3 linked regions of the Rhinolophus ferrumequinum genome follow. The protein of the gene in region 1 interacts with the protein of each later gene in a pairwise test. Links are inferred from orthologs where the notes say so. Each region holds a gene or a part of one and is shown in the gene's direction. Other genes may lie near its edges.

Evidence for each region.
Region 2: the proteins of MID2 (region 1) and TRIM54 interact in binary tests that used the Homo sapiens proteins (3 or more experiments, as listed by UniProt). The two-hybrid records come from large-scale screens. The link is inferred for Rhinolophus ferrumequinum from reciprocal best matches to the Homo sapiens genes MID2 and TRIM54.
Region 3: the proteins of MID2 (region 1) and IQCN interact in binary tests that used the Homo sapiens proteins (3 or more experiments, as listed by UniProt). The two-hybrid records come from large-scale screens. The link is inferred for Rhinolophus ferrumequinum from reciprocal best matches to the Homo sapiens genes MID2 and IQCN.

The regions. Positions count from the first base shown.
Region 1 is NC_046284.1:46,734,577-46,738,399, reverse strand, and holds the start of MID2 (probable E3 ubiquitin-protein ligase MID2), read left to right. Parts: upstream 1-1,472; 5' UTR 1,473-1,580; intron 1,581-1,645; exon of another isoform or gene 1,646-2,262; intron 2,263-2,781; exon of another isoform or gene 2,782-2,800; intron 2,801-3,823. UniProt on the Homo sapiens protein: E3 ubiquitin ligase that plays a role in microtubule stabilization. Mediates the 'Lys-48'-linked polyubiquitination of LRRK2 to drive its localization to microtubules and its proteasomal degradation in neurons.
Region 2 is NC_046296.1:53,402,484-53,406,083, reverse strand, and holds the start of TRIM54 (tripartite motif-containing protein 54), read left to right. Parts: upstream 1-725; 5' UTR 726-1,078; coding exon 1,079-1,246; intron 1,247-3,600. UniProt on the Homo sapiens protein: May bind and stabilize microtubules during myotubes formation.
Region 3 is NC_046301.1:51,087,743-51,091,565, reverse strand, and holds the start of IQCN (IQ domain-containing protein N), read left to right. Parts: upstream 1-948; coding exon 949-1,894; intron 1,895-1,948; coding exon 1,949-2,259; intron 2,260-2,649; coding exon 2,650-3,823. UniProt on the Homo sapiens protein: Essential for spermiogenesis and fertilization. May be required for manchette assembly in elongating spermatids.

The DNA.
Region 1 (3,823 bases):
CTTTCAATTCTTTGAATATATTTCCAGAATTGAGATTGCTGAATCATATGGTAGTTCTGTTTTTAACTTTTTGAGGAACCTCTGTACTCCTGAGGTTTTTTTCCATATTGGTTGCACTGTTCCCACCAACAGTGTACAAGGGTTCCAATTTTTCCACATCCTTGCCAACACTTATTATTGTAATGGCCATTCTGACCGGTGTGAGGTGATATCTCATTGTGGTTTTGATTTGCATTTCCCTGATGATTGGTGATGTTGAGCATCCTTTAATATGCTTGTTGGCCATTTGTACGTCTTCTTTGGAGAAATGTCTATTCAAGTCCTTTGCCCATGTTTTAATCTGGCTATTTATTGTTTTGTTATTGGGTTGTAGGAGTTATTGATATATTCTGGATATTAACCTCTTATCAGATATATGGTTTGCAAATATTTTCATTCTTGCCTTTTTGTTCTGTTGATTCTATTGCTGTGCAGAAAATTTTAAGTTTGATGTAGTTGCCACCTGTCTATTTTTGCTAACCTTGCCTGTTCTTTTGGTATGACTGAACTCATTAACTTTTACTTCTCCTAGAGCCAGACTTTCATCAGGATAGTCTGGTTGTGACTTTTGCCTTCATTTCCATCTCGGTGCTCGCTAGTACATTGTTGAATGGGGTGATGCCTAATTACTATTGGTTCCCTGATGGGATACACCCAGAGCTACCATAATTTTTCTGAACTTATTCCCATGCACAGTAATTGGAGGCTTCTGTGAGACGGGGCTGTTTCCTCCCATTTTCTAGCTTCTTTCCCCTTCATCTCCCTTTTTACCCCATGTTAGGAGCAGAATCTCCTCCGGGCCTCCTCCTTCTCCCCTCTGGTGTCCTTGTGAGTGGGTCAGTGGTCTCTGAGCCAATGACAGGTCAGCTGCCAGGCTGACTCCAGACCAATGAAGTTTCTGGGCTCCCGATGAACCAATTAGCTTATTAGGGACATTGAATACCTGGATAGCTGGCATCTGTCCCATTGTTCTCTTAGTAGGGAACCTCTTGTTTTGTCCATCAAAGATTTGAGCGTGCAAATGAAACCTTTTTTTTTTTTTTAATTTTGGTGGCTTTATTCCATCCCCACAACTTCTGCCCAAGGCCAATAAAACACAGCCATTCTCCTTTCGTAAAAAGAAAGAGGGGTTGGGTTTCCTTCAATTGTCTGCCTTTTTCTGTCTCCTCCACTATTTTTGTTTTACTCTGTAGTTAACTTTGCATAGAGCAGCTTCATCCGGGGACCTGTGCGGTGGGCCTGGGCACTCTCTCATTGCCAGTTGCAAGGGTCTTTTCCGTGTTCCAACCTGGGGGTTTGTGGGACCAGGGGCTTGGCGGGTGGCAGAAGAGTTGCCTTCTGTATTTCACACACATTCTGCGCTCTCTCTCCCTCTCTCTCTTTCTCTCTCTCTCTCTCTCTCTCTCTCTCTCTCTCTCTCTCTCTCTCTCTCGCGCGCGCGCGCGCGCGCGCGCGCGCACACACACGACCGCTCAGCACCTCTCCGTGTGTCTTCCTTCAAGATGACAGGGCGCTGGAGAAAAGGCTGCTGGAATCAGCTGGTAGGTACAGTAGTAACCCGAACCCCACCCACCCGCTGCCTTTGCTTGGTCAGGTTTCTCCCGTCACTCCTGCCTGGGGAGAAAACATGTAAACGCGCCTCCAGAGGAGGGGCTGGGGTAGCTGGGAGCGGCGGGGGAGGCTGAAGGTGAGGCCGGGAAGGTGGCCGAGAGCCCCCGCTGCCGGGCCCTTGTCCGTGCTCCCTCTGGGCGTCAGCCCCAACCCTGTTGGCCCCCACCCCACCCCCTTTTCGAAGGGATTGCTTTTTTTTTCCCTCTGCGGCGGCGGAAATGACAGTGTGGAGCTGCCGTGGTGTCATGGTGCTGCCCCTGGACTGAGGGGGCGAATCTAAAACTCTTAAGTTTGGAGCGTCGCGACCGCCGTGCTGTCCCTTGCGGGGCGCGCGGGCGGGCGGATCCCGGCTGCTGCGCGGCGGCAGCAGCGAAGGCGAAGGCGGGCGGCGGCCTAGAGCGGCGGCAGCGGCAGCTCGGGGAGCTCGCGCCAGCGTCGGAGCCGGAGCCAGCTCGCGGCGGAGGGAGGCGAGCGCCCTGCGCCCTGGGGCGCGCTGAGGAGATGGCCGGCGCCCGGGAACGCTCTGGGTAAAACGCGCCCCCTCGCCGCGGCCCCCGGGGGCCGAGCACCCCGCCGGCGCAGGGCTCGGCCCCGGCTCCAGCCGCCTCTCAGGTGCGGCTGGGACCAGCGCGGGCCGAGGACTCCGGGGCTCTGCGGGGCAGGGTGACGGGCCCCGAGAGGCTCGAGGCGGCGGCGGGGGCCCCGTCCTGGCCCTGACTCCACGTTGCGCCGTGGAGCCCCGGGTTCCCGTCGCTGCTGCCCTCCTGGGACGGAGTTTTCACTCCGGGTTGCGGGCGGGGGCGGCCCGAGGCCTCTCTCACAGCCGGGCCGGGCCCAGCGCGGCCAGTGGAGCGGCTCCTTCCCACGAGCGCCTTCCCACGCTCCCGCGGCCGGCAGCCTCCTCGGCCCTGTTGGCGCCCCTTGGCCGGCCGTCTGCCCGGCGGTAGCTGGTGTCGCAGCCCGATATGCTGCGGACACCCTGCCGGCGGGGAGGCCCGGCGAAACTTAATCCCCTTTCTGCCAGGGGAGCGACCCTTGAGTCTCCGTCTGGGTGGTTCCTTATTTCTGGCCTAGCTCTGAAAGCAGCTCAGGAGGGAGAGGGGAAACTTACATAGGTCCATTGGATAGACTGCGACTGAATCACGGAGAGGTGGGTTTTTTCCATTCCTGGCTTGTCAGAATTAAGTAAATAACGGTGGAGTAGATTTTCAGAAACACTTTTGGTGATGATAAGGTTTAGGTTACTTAGCACTTCATGCGCAGCACATTATTTCTGGGAGACATTTCTCAGAGCAGGAAATTGGGATCCTGGGGTCGGTGGTTCTTCACTTTCTCTCTTCTACACTCTCCTACAGCCTTCACACTCACGCACCTTCCTACAACATCATACACCTACCTGCCCACCCAAATCTCCCCCCCCCACCCCGCCATCCCACAGGCCCTTTCCCCCATCAACCTGTGTACTCCCAGCCGCCCAGCAATGCAGCTTCTTGCTTCTCAACCAGTTTCCCTATTTCAGGATTTCTGAGTGTGGGGTCGGTGGGTAGTGATGGTTGTGTGTCTCCGAGGAGGAGCCCTTATAAAAGAATATATTGGAGACTATGTAAATAGACAAGTACTGTGTGTGGGTTGATTCCTCCGATTCTCAGGTTGGGCCATGAGGGCTACCTTTAACCCCACTCTGTTCCTTCTCAGTATCAGTTCTCTGGCCATGTTCCAATAGAAGGGAAAGGGTGAAGAGAGGAGAGTTCCTCCCCTACTCCTTGCTCTACCCCGAACCATTACATCCCCCCTTTCACCCCTCTCCACTCATGACTGCCTGAGGGGGAAACAGTCTTTGCTGTTTTATATATTCCTGTCCAATCAATTAACTTAATGCAGATATATAATGTGAATTAGATTTTTCCTGATTGTTCCTCACAACTTGATTTATGTGGTTGAAATAGAGGTCTAGGAGCTAAGAAGATCAGAGAGTTGTCCCAAATCTGATGTTACATTGGCCTGAGGACATTCCTATGACCTTTCTTTCATAGTTGATGCATTTGTGTAAAAGGCATAATATAGTGTACTGGGGTTTTGTGAGTCGTGACTTGGTCCTTTGAAGATAATAGGGTTCTGTAAACCCTCAGCACTACACATTTCAAAGAAAGTGCTTCATTTACCTTTTTATTGG
Region 2 (3,600 bases), on another chromosome or scaffold:
CAAAATAGGTGCCTGGCATTCAGGTCCTTTCTGCCCAGCTCAGCTTCTCTCAATTTCCTGACAAATCTAAAGTCCTTGGAGTGGCTCCAGTGATGTGTTTATGGACCAGAGTCCCACACTTTCTCAGGAGCATGCTCAGGAGGTCGTCCCTGGCACAACTGCCAGCTCTAGCATTCTGAGCTTCTTTTCCTTGGGTGATCTAAGAAAGTTCTGGGTGAGAACAAGAGTGGACCAGAAGTGTTGGACCAGAGCCTCTCTCTCTAGTTGCTAGTGCTCCTGTACAGAATCACGGGGTTCAGAGGAAGAGGGCCACTGGCTAATCCTTGGAGGCAGACATTTTCAATGACTGTCTGTCGGTCTGGCAAGATCTGTCCTTCGACCCTGAGCCATGTATGCTGATTGACTGTGTCATGCCGTTTGACTTTGTGCCACTGCCCTGGAAGAAGGGCCCGAGCCAGATGATGGGGGTCAGGAGGGCACAGGAGCCTTCTGAGTGAGAGAGCGAGTGAGAGCCCAATGCCTTTGCTGGCCCACCTTTCACCACGAGCAGTCAAGCTCACCCCTGCTCTTGCTCAAGAGAGCCACCCATGCCTGAGTGAGTCAGGGTCACTCACTCGGTGACAGCTGTGGCTCGCCTTACATGAGCTAAATTGGGAGTTGGAATGTCACACAGATGCCCCTTATTCCCCACCCCCACGTTAAAATTAATCTCCTCCCTGGGGAGTGAGGAATAAACAGTGCTGCCCATAGAGTGAACACTAGTCGTTTGGGGAACAAAGGGAGAAATTTCCAGGGACAGAATCACGCAGGGAGTGAGGGAACGAGAAAACTGCATGTGCCTGGCTGGGGTATAGAGCAAAGAAGAGAGAGACGAGAAGTGTCTGAAAGAGGCTGCCTAAGGACAAGGCGAATTGTCAGAGGAAGGGACAGGAGAGATAGCAGAGCTATTTCAAGAGTGAGCAACAAAAGGGAACACAAGAATCCATAGACTGTGTAAAGTAAAAGAGGAAGGGTTCTGAGGCAGTGAGGGAAGGCCAGGACCAGAGCCAAGGCCAGGGTAGGCACGATCGCTGAGGGGATGAACTTCACAGTGGGTTTCAAGCCGCTGCTCGGGGATGCACACAGCATGGACAACCTGGAGAAGCAGCTCATCTGCCCCATCTGCCTGGAGATGTTCTCCAAACCTGTGGTGATCCTGCCCTGCCAGCACAACCTGTGCCGCAAGTGTGCCAACGACGTCTTCCAGGTAGGCCGGGGAAGGGCCAGGGCCAGGGCCAGGTGAAGCACTGCAGACTTGTGGGAGACTTCTTATCAGGTCAGAGCTGAGCTCCCAGGTGATGGGCAGAGTGCTGTATGAGCTGGGTGGTGGCTGTCCTGGCTGAAGGGCAGAAGATGAGCTGGGGGCTTAGCAGATCCCAAAGTAAGCGTGAGTCAGCAGCTGCTCTGCAGGCTGGAGAGGACAGCCTGCGCATGGACAGAGGAAAGAAGACCCCTAGAAACTAGGAGAAAGGTGATCCTCCCCAGGCTGTGTAACAGTTTGCTAGAGTACATTCCAGTTCGGAGTTTCAGATTTTGAGAACATTATAGAAAATCTGGAGAAAATAGCATTGAGATAATGAAACATTAAAAAATAAACCCTGTGAGAAAAGTCCATTATGACAGTGAAACTATCTGTATTTAAGGCAAAGCTCAGCGCATCCATCTTTTGGGGGCAGAATTAGAGGGCAGGAGACTAGGAATCCTCCCCAACTAAACTTCACACCTGTCCCCCACTCCAGACTAGTCAATAAAGGGGCCTGCGGGTTAAAAAGGATTGAGGTCACTTAAGCAGAGAGAAGGCAGAGAAGAAATTTTATGTCCCAGAAATGCAACCAGTTTGGGTTGACATGTGGTCACGGGGCAAAGCAGAACTAATCAAATTCATAGATATCATTTTAGCTACTGGTTTCATAAAGAAAAGCAGCATAAGCCAGAATGGTTTATAAATGGGCTTTCTTGTTTGCCCTGTGCCAGAGGTATAGGTTCTAGTAATCTACAAAATGGGACAAACTTCAGTGAGAGTAAGGGGAAAAGACACACACACACCCCCCTTGCAAATAAAGTAAAAACTCTGAATAGATCAGAGCTGGCTGGCTCAGTAGGCATGGCTGCTATAAGGAACATCGTGAACATTCATTTCTTCATCTGTATCAGAAATTAGGAGGAAATGTGTTGAACACAAGTGATTTTTAACTTAACCACGAAAATGCTTCCTTTTAAGTTCTTGGGGCAGCATGTTTGGGGAGAAGCAGTGGGCTCATTGTCCGGCCATCCCTCAGCCATGCCTGGGACCCACCTTTTGTCTGCCTGCCGTCTGCCATCCTTACTAAGTACCCAGCCCCTAGTCTTTCCTGCCATCTTCCCATCGAGACCCATTCCCAACTCCTATTCCACTACGAGAATATTTGGCTCCAGAATATCTCAGAGCCAGTGATTTTCCCTCTCTGGGGGCCTAGAATGACTGTTACGCTGCACACCCTGGGTATCAAGTCATATATATATGAGAGCCTATGCCTTGCCCACCATCTTGGTTTCTCCCTAAGACACTCTCTGAACATCAGGCTGAGATGCCTGGGACGGAATGGCAAAAAGACTGTGTCATCACATCTCAGGAATTTGTAGTGAAACATCCTTTCATTAGAGCCTGAAATGTGGGAAAGAAAAGAGAAGTTTTAAAAAAGAAGGTAATGTGTCTTATAAAACAACAGAATATTAAAGTGAAAGGCACACAGTGTCGTCGGGCAGAGGGACCCAGGGACAGGAGGCTAGAAGATGTTTAAGTGACTTCCTTTGTTCAAGCCAGCCCTCTGTACTCAGGCATACTTACTTTGGTTCCTTGATGCTGTGGAATACTAGCTTGGAGCCTGAGAGACCTGGCGAGGCTTTGGGTCAAACCCTGTGCAGAATGTTTGGGAGCCAGCCTGAGTCCCAGGGCTTTGGGATGGTTCTGCGGATCTTTTCAAGTACAGAGCACCCCTGGGCCCTCCAAGGAGAGAAGAGTGAACAGCTCATTTCCTTGCTGCTTTATTTGGACTGGCCTGGTGGGAGGCTGACCTAGTTCTTTAGCTGTACTTATGTATATACATCTCAGTTGATCTCCTTCTGAAAGATGAGCATATTTAGTTTTTTCACACATTGCCTCCACATTTTGACAACTCTAGACATAATCAGATTGTCTGTTTTCTAAGTTTGGGGACAAGAATAGGACTTTTGGTTCCTCTATCTTCAAACCACTTAGCAAGAATACTCTTAGAACATCGCCTAGAAAGTTAACAGGACTTATACACGTGATACCAGTATATTATATTACACACACACACACACACACACACACACACACTTTTTTCCAAACAGTATAGGAGTTTATATCATGAAAAGTGAATCTTCACCTCACGTACTCAATTCCATTCTCCATATGGAGCTAGCCATTACCAACTTTCTTGGGTAGCCTTCCAGAAATTTTCCGTGGATAGGCATGTGTGTGTGTGTGTGTGTGTGTGTGTGTGTACACATACATTTAAACTAGACTCATTATCGTACACCTGCCTTTGTTCACTTACT
Region 3 (3,823 bases), on another chromosome or scaffold:
CATGCACTATCCATTCACCGATCCATCCATCCATTCATCAGTCCACCAATGGTCTCTTCAACAATTCCTTTAGATCTCGTCATTCACACACCCATTAATCTACTCAGATTTCACCCATCTATGTATCCATCTGTCTATCCATCTCTCCATCTATCCATCCATCCATCCGTCCACTCATCCCTCCTTCCCTCCCTCCTTCCATCCATCCACTCATCTATACATCCATGTGTCCATTTATTGATTGATCTGTTCATAAATTCATCAACTTCATTTATTCCTCCATTCTTCCACTCAACCGTTCATCCATCCCTCCAACTGATTCACCATTCATTCATCCACTGATTTATCCATTCAGTATTTAGTCATGTATCCACCTATCCATACAACTTCCAATCCACTCACCCACTCACTTGTTAGTCAAATTAGCCCCTCACCCAACACCTACCCATTCACAGCCTGGAGCCAAACCCTATGACTGAGACGAGGACACAGAAATGACTCAGACTTGGTTCCTGCCCTCTGGGAATTCATAGTCAATGAGAAGAGGCAAATAACAATCACACATACACACACACACACACACACACACACACACACACACATTCTCCAGACAGTGCAGTCAGTGCTGTCCTCACAACATATTCTAGACACAGAGCAAGTATGAAAAGCAGGTAAGTGCTGGGGCATTGAGTAGGTGAGAATGCGTACTACACACCAGAGTTGAAGTGGCCACAGGATGATGAAAAATACATGGATACCAAAAGCCACCTGAGGAGGTGGCCAGGCCAGGGTAGACAGGGCCTGCAAAGGTGCCAGGAACAAGAAGATCTAGGCCCCAGGGTGAGGGCTCGTCCCAGCCAGAACCCCTCTTCTCTGCACGACTCCACTCCCTGACCACCTCCCTGCCACCTCCCACAGGCAGATTTGATCCACCTAGGAACCGAGACAATGCAGCAAGCAACACAATTACAGTGGTCACCCAGCGGGCAGAACTCCTCCCAGGCCCAGCCTGTCCCCAATCTGCAAGACAAAGCAGGAACACTACGTCCGCATCCCCAGCATGAGCCACCTGCATCCAGGGAGACCCTCCTGCAACAGCCAGACAAGATGGTGCCTCACCACACCCCACGCCTCCGGGCTGTGGTGGAGAGCCAGGCCTTCAAGAATGTCCTGGTTGACGAGATGGACATAATTCTGTCTCGCGCAGCTACGCTCATCCAATCCAACTGGAAGGGCTACCGGCTCCGGCAGAAGCTCATCTCCCAGATGCGGGCAGCTAAGGCCATTCAGGAGGCCTGGCGACGCTTCAACACCAGGCGCCTCCTCCGGTTTGGCAAAGCGGTAGAGAAAAAAGTGAGTGCGGATGAGGGGGACATCCCTTACCACCCGCCCCAGCAAGTGCGGTTCCAGCATTCAGAAAAGGACAGGAGCCTTTCCGCCCCACCCATCATGGTGAGTAAGGAGACCCAGTTCCCTTCTGCTGACAGCCTGGCTGCTTACACCCACCAGCTGGCCCCGCAGCAGCCCCTGGGTGCTCCACAGGCTTCTTGTGCCCCTGGTGGCCCCAGCATCACTTTCCTGCCAGACCAGACTATCTCCAGTAGACTTCCGTGTCCAGTGAGTCCAGAGGCAAAGCGCTACCCATGCCTGCTGACAAGAACGGTCAGAAGTGCCAATCTTGTCCACAGAGAAGGGGACACGATAAAGACCAAGCAAGTGGCTGCCAGAGCCAACAAGGCAGGAGCCCCGGGCACACCACAATCAGAACGGTATGCCCAGGTTTTTCATGGACCCCACAAGACCCAGACTCAGGCCCTTGTGGAAGCAGAAGTTCTCCAAGCCCCACCCCAGCCAGGCCCAGCCCCTGTGATGCTCAAGAACCCCCTCCAGCCGTGCCCGGTGCCCCCCATTACAATGACCAAGAGTCCACCCCAGATGTATCCGGCAGCTGTATTGACCAAGACGCCACTTCAGTCATGCCTGGCATCCATGATGAATAGAGCCCCCACTCAGCCGTGCCCAGCACCCACAGCAACAATAGCCAAGACCCCACCCCGGGTGGACCCAGCAGCCCCAGTGGCCAAGACCACACTCCAGTCATGCCTGACAGCCATCTTGAACAAGATCCCAACCCAGCCATGTCCAGCTCCTGCGATAATGATAACAAAGACCCCACCCCAGCCGTGCCTGGCGGCTCCAGTGACAAAGACCCCAGCTCAGATGCGACCAACAGCCTCGATGACCAACACGGCACCCCAAGCACGACTGGCTGCCGTGATGGCCAAAATTCCACCCCAGATATGCCTGTTGACCTCGATTATCAAGTCCCCAACCCAGACAAGCCCAGAGCCCATGATGGCCAAGACCCCAGTGCAGACATGCCCAGTGCCCATGATGGCTAAGACCCCACCCCAGATGAGCCCAGAGCCCGTGATGGCAGAGACCCCACCCCAGACGTGCCCGGTGCCCATGATGGCCAAGACCCCAGTGCGGACGTGCCCAGGGCCCGTGATGGCCAAGATTCTACCACAGACATGCCCCGTGCCCATGATGGCTAAGACCCCACCCCAGATATGCCAGGTGCCCGTGATGGCAGAGACCCCAGTGCGGATGTGCCCAGGGCCCATGATGGCAGAGACCCCACCCCAGACGTGCCCGGTGCCCATGATGGCCAAGACCCCAGTGCGGACATGCCCAGGGCCTGTGATGGCCAAGATTCTACCACAGACACACCCAGGGCCTGTGATAGCCAAGACCCCACCCCAGATGCGCCTGGCGGCCACAATGGCCAAAACCCCACTACAGACATGTCCAGCAGCCACGATAGCCAAGACCCCATCTCAGACGCTCCCAGGGGCCTCGATGACCAAGACCCCTCCCCAGACGCGTCTGGCAGCCATGATCACCAAGACTCCAGCCCAATTACGCTCAATGGCCACAATCCTCAGGACGCTGTGCCTGCTCCCTCCCACCGCTGGCAATCTGAAAGCTTCACCTCCAGCAGTCATGGCAGCTGGGATTCCCAATACCTTGTCCCACACGTGTCTGAACAAACCAAAGGCCAAGGCTGTGGTGACTGCGAGACAGACCGTTAAAATCTCGTCCCATTCATACTTGACTGGGGGAAAGATGAAATACTGCCCCCCACCACATCTGGGGGCTGGATCTCCCAAGTCTCCAGCCAGGCCTCTTTGGAAACCCAACACAATCAAGGCCTTCTCCCAGAAACAGGTGAAAACGGCAACCAAGTCTAGTAGCAGTGTGGCCGTGGAAGTCCCCAGGGCAAAGCCCTGGGCAAAAGTGGCTGAGCACAGAAACAAGGTCTCATCGCAGGCACGCCTGAGGACAGATGTTGTGAGTGCCCAGACCCAGGTATATGTGCCTGGAGAAACAGCTGTGGTTTTGCCCCAGGCACAGCTGGGCACATCTGGGTCCAAGTCTTCGCCCCCGGGACAGCTGGCCACCTGTTCAACCACCACGTCAGCCCAGGGACATTTGCTTACAGAACTGACTGCGACCCTGCCCCAGGCATATCTGGGTACATGTCTGTCCAAGGCCCCACCCCAGGCACATCTACCTGCTCAGCTGACGACGGCCCCGTCCCTGGCATATCCTGGCACATGTCTGACCAAGACACAATCCCAAGCACATCTGGCCACAGGAGTCCAGTCTCAAGCATATCTCCTCACCGGGCTAACCAAGGCACAGTCCCAAGCCCAGCTGGTCACAGAGACAGCCAAGTGCCTCTACCCCGCCCACCAGGCTGTGGAGGTCAGCAGCAAGACCAAGTCCCAGCCACTCCGGACTGGGTTTAAGGCCTCCA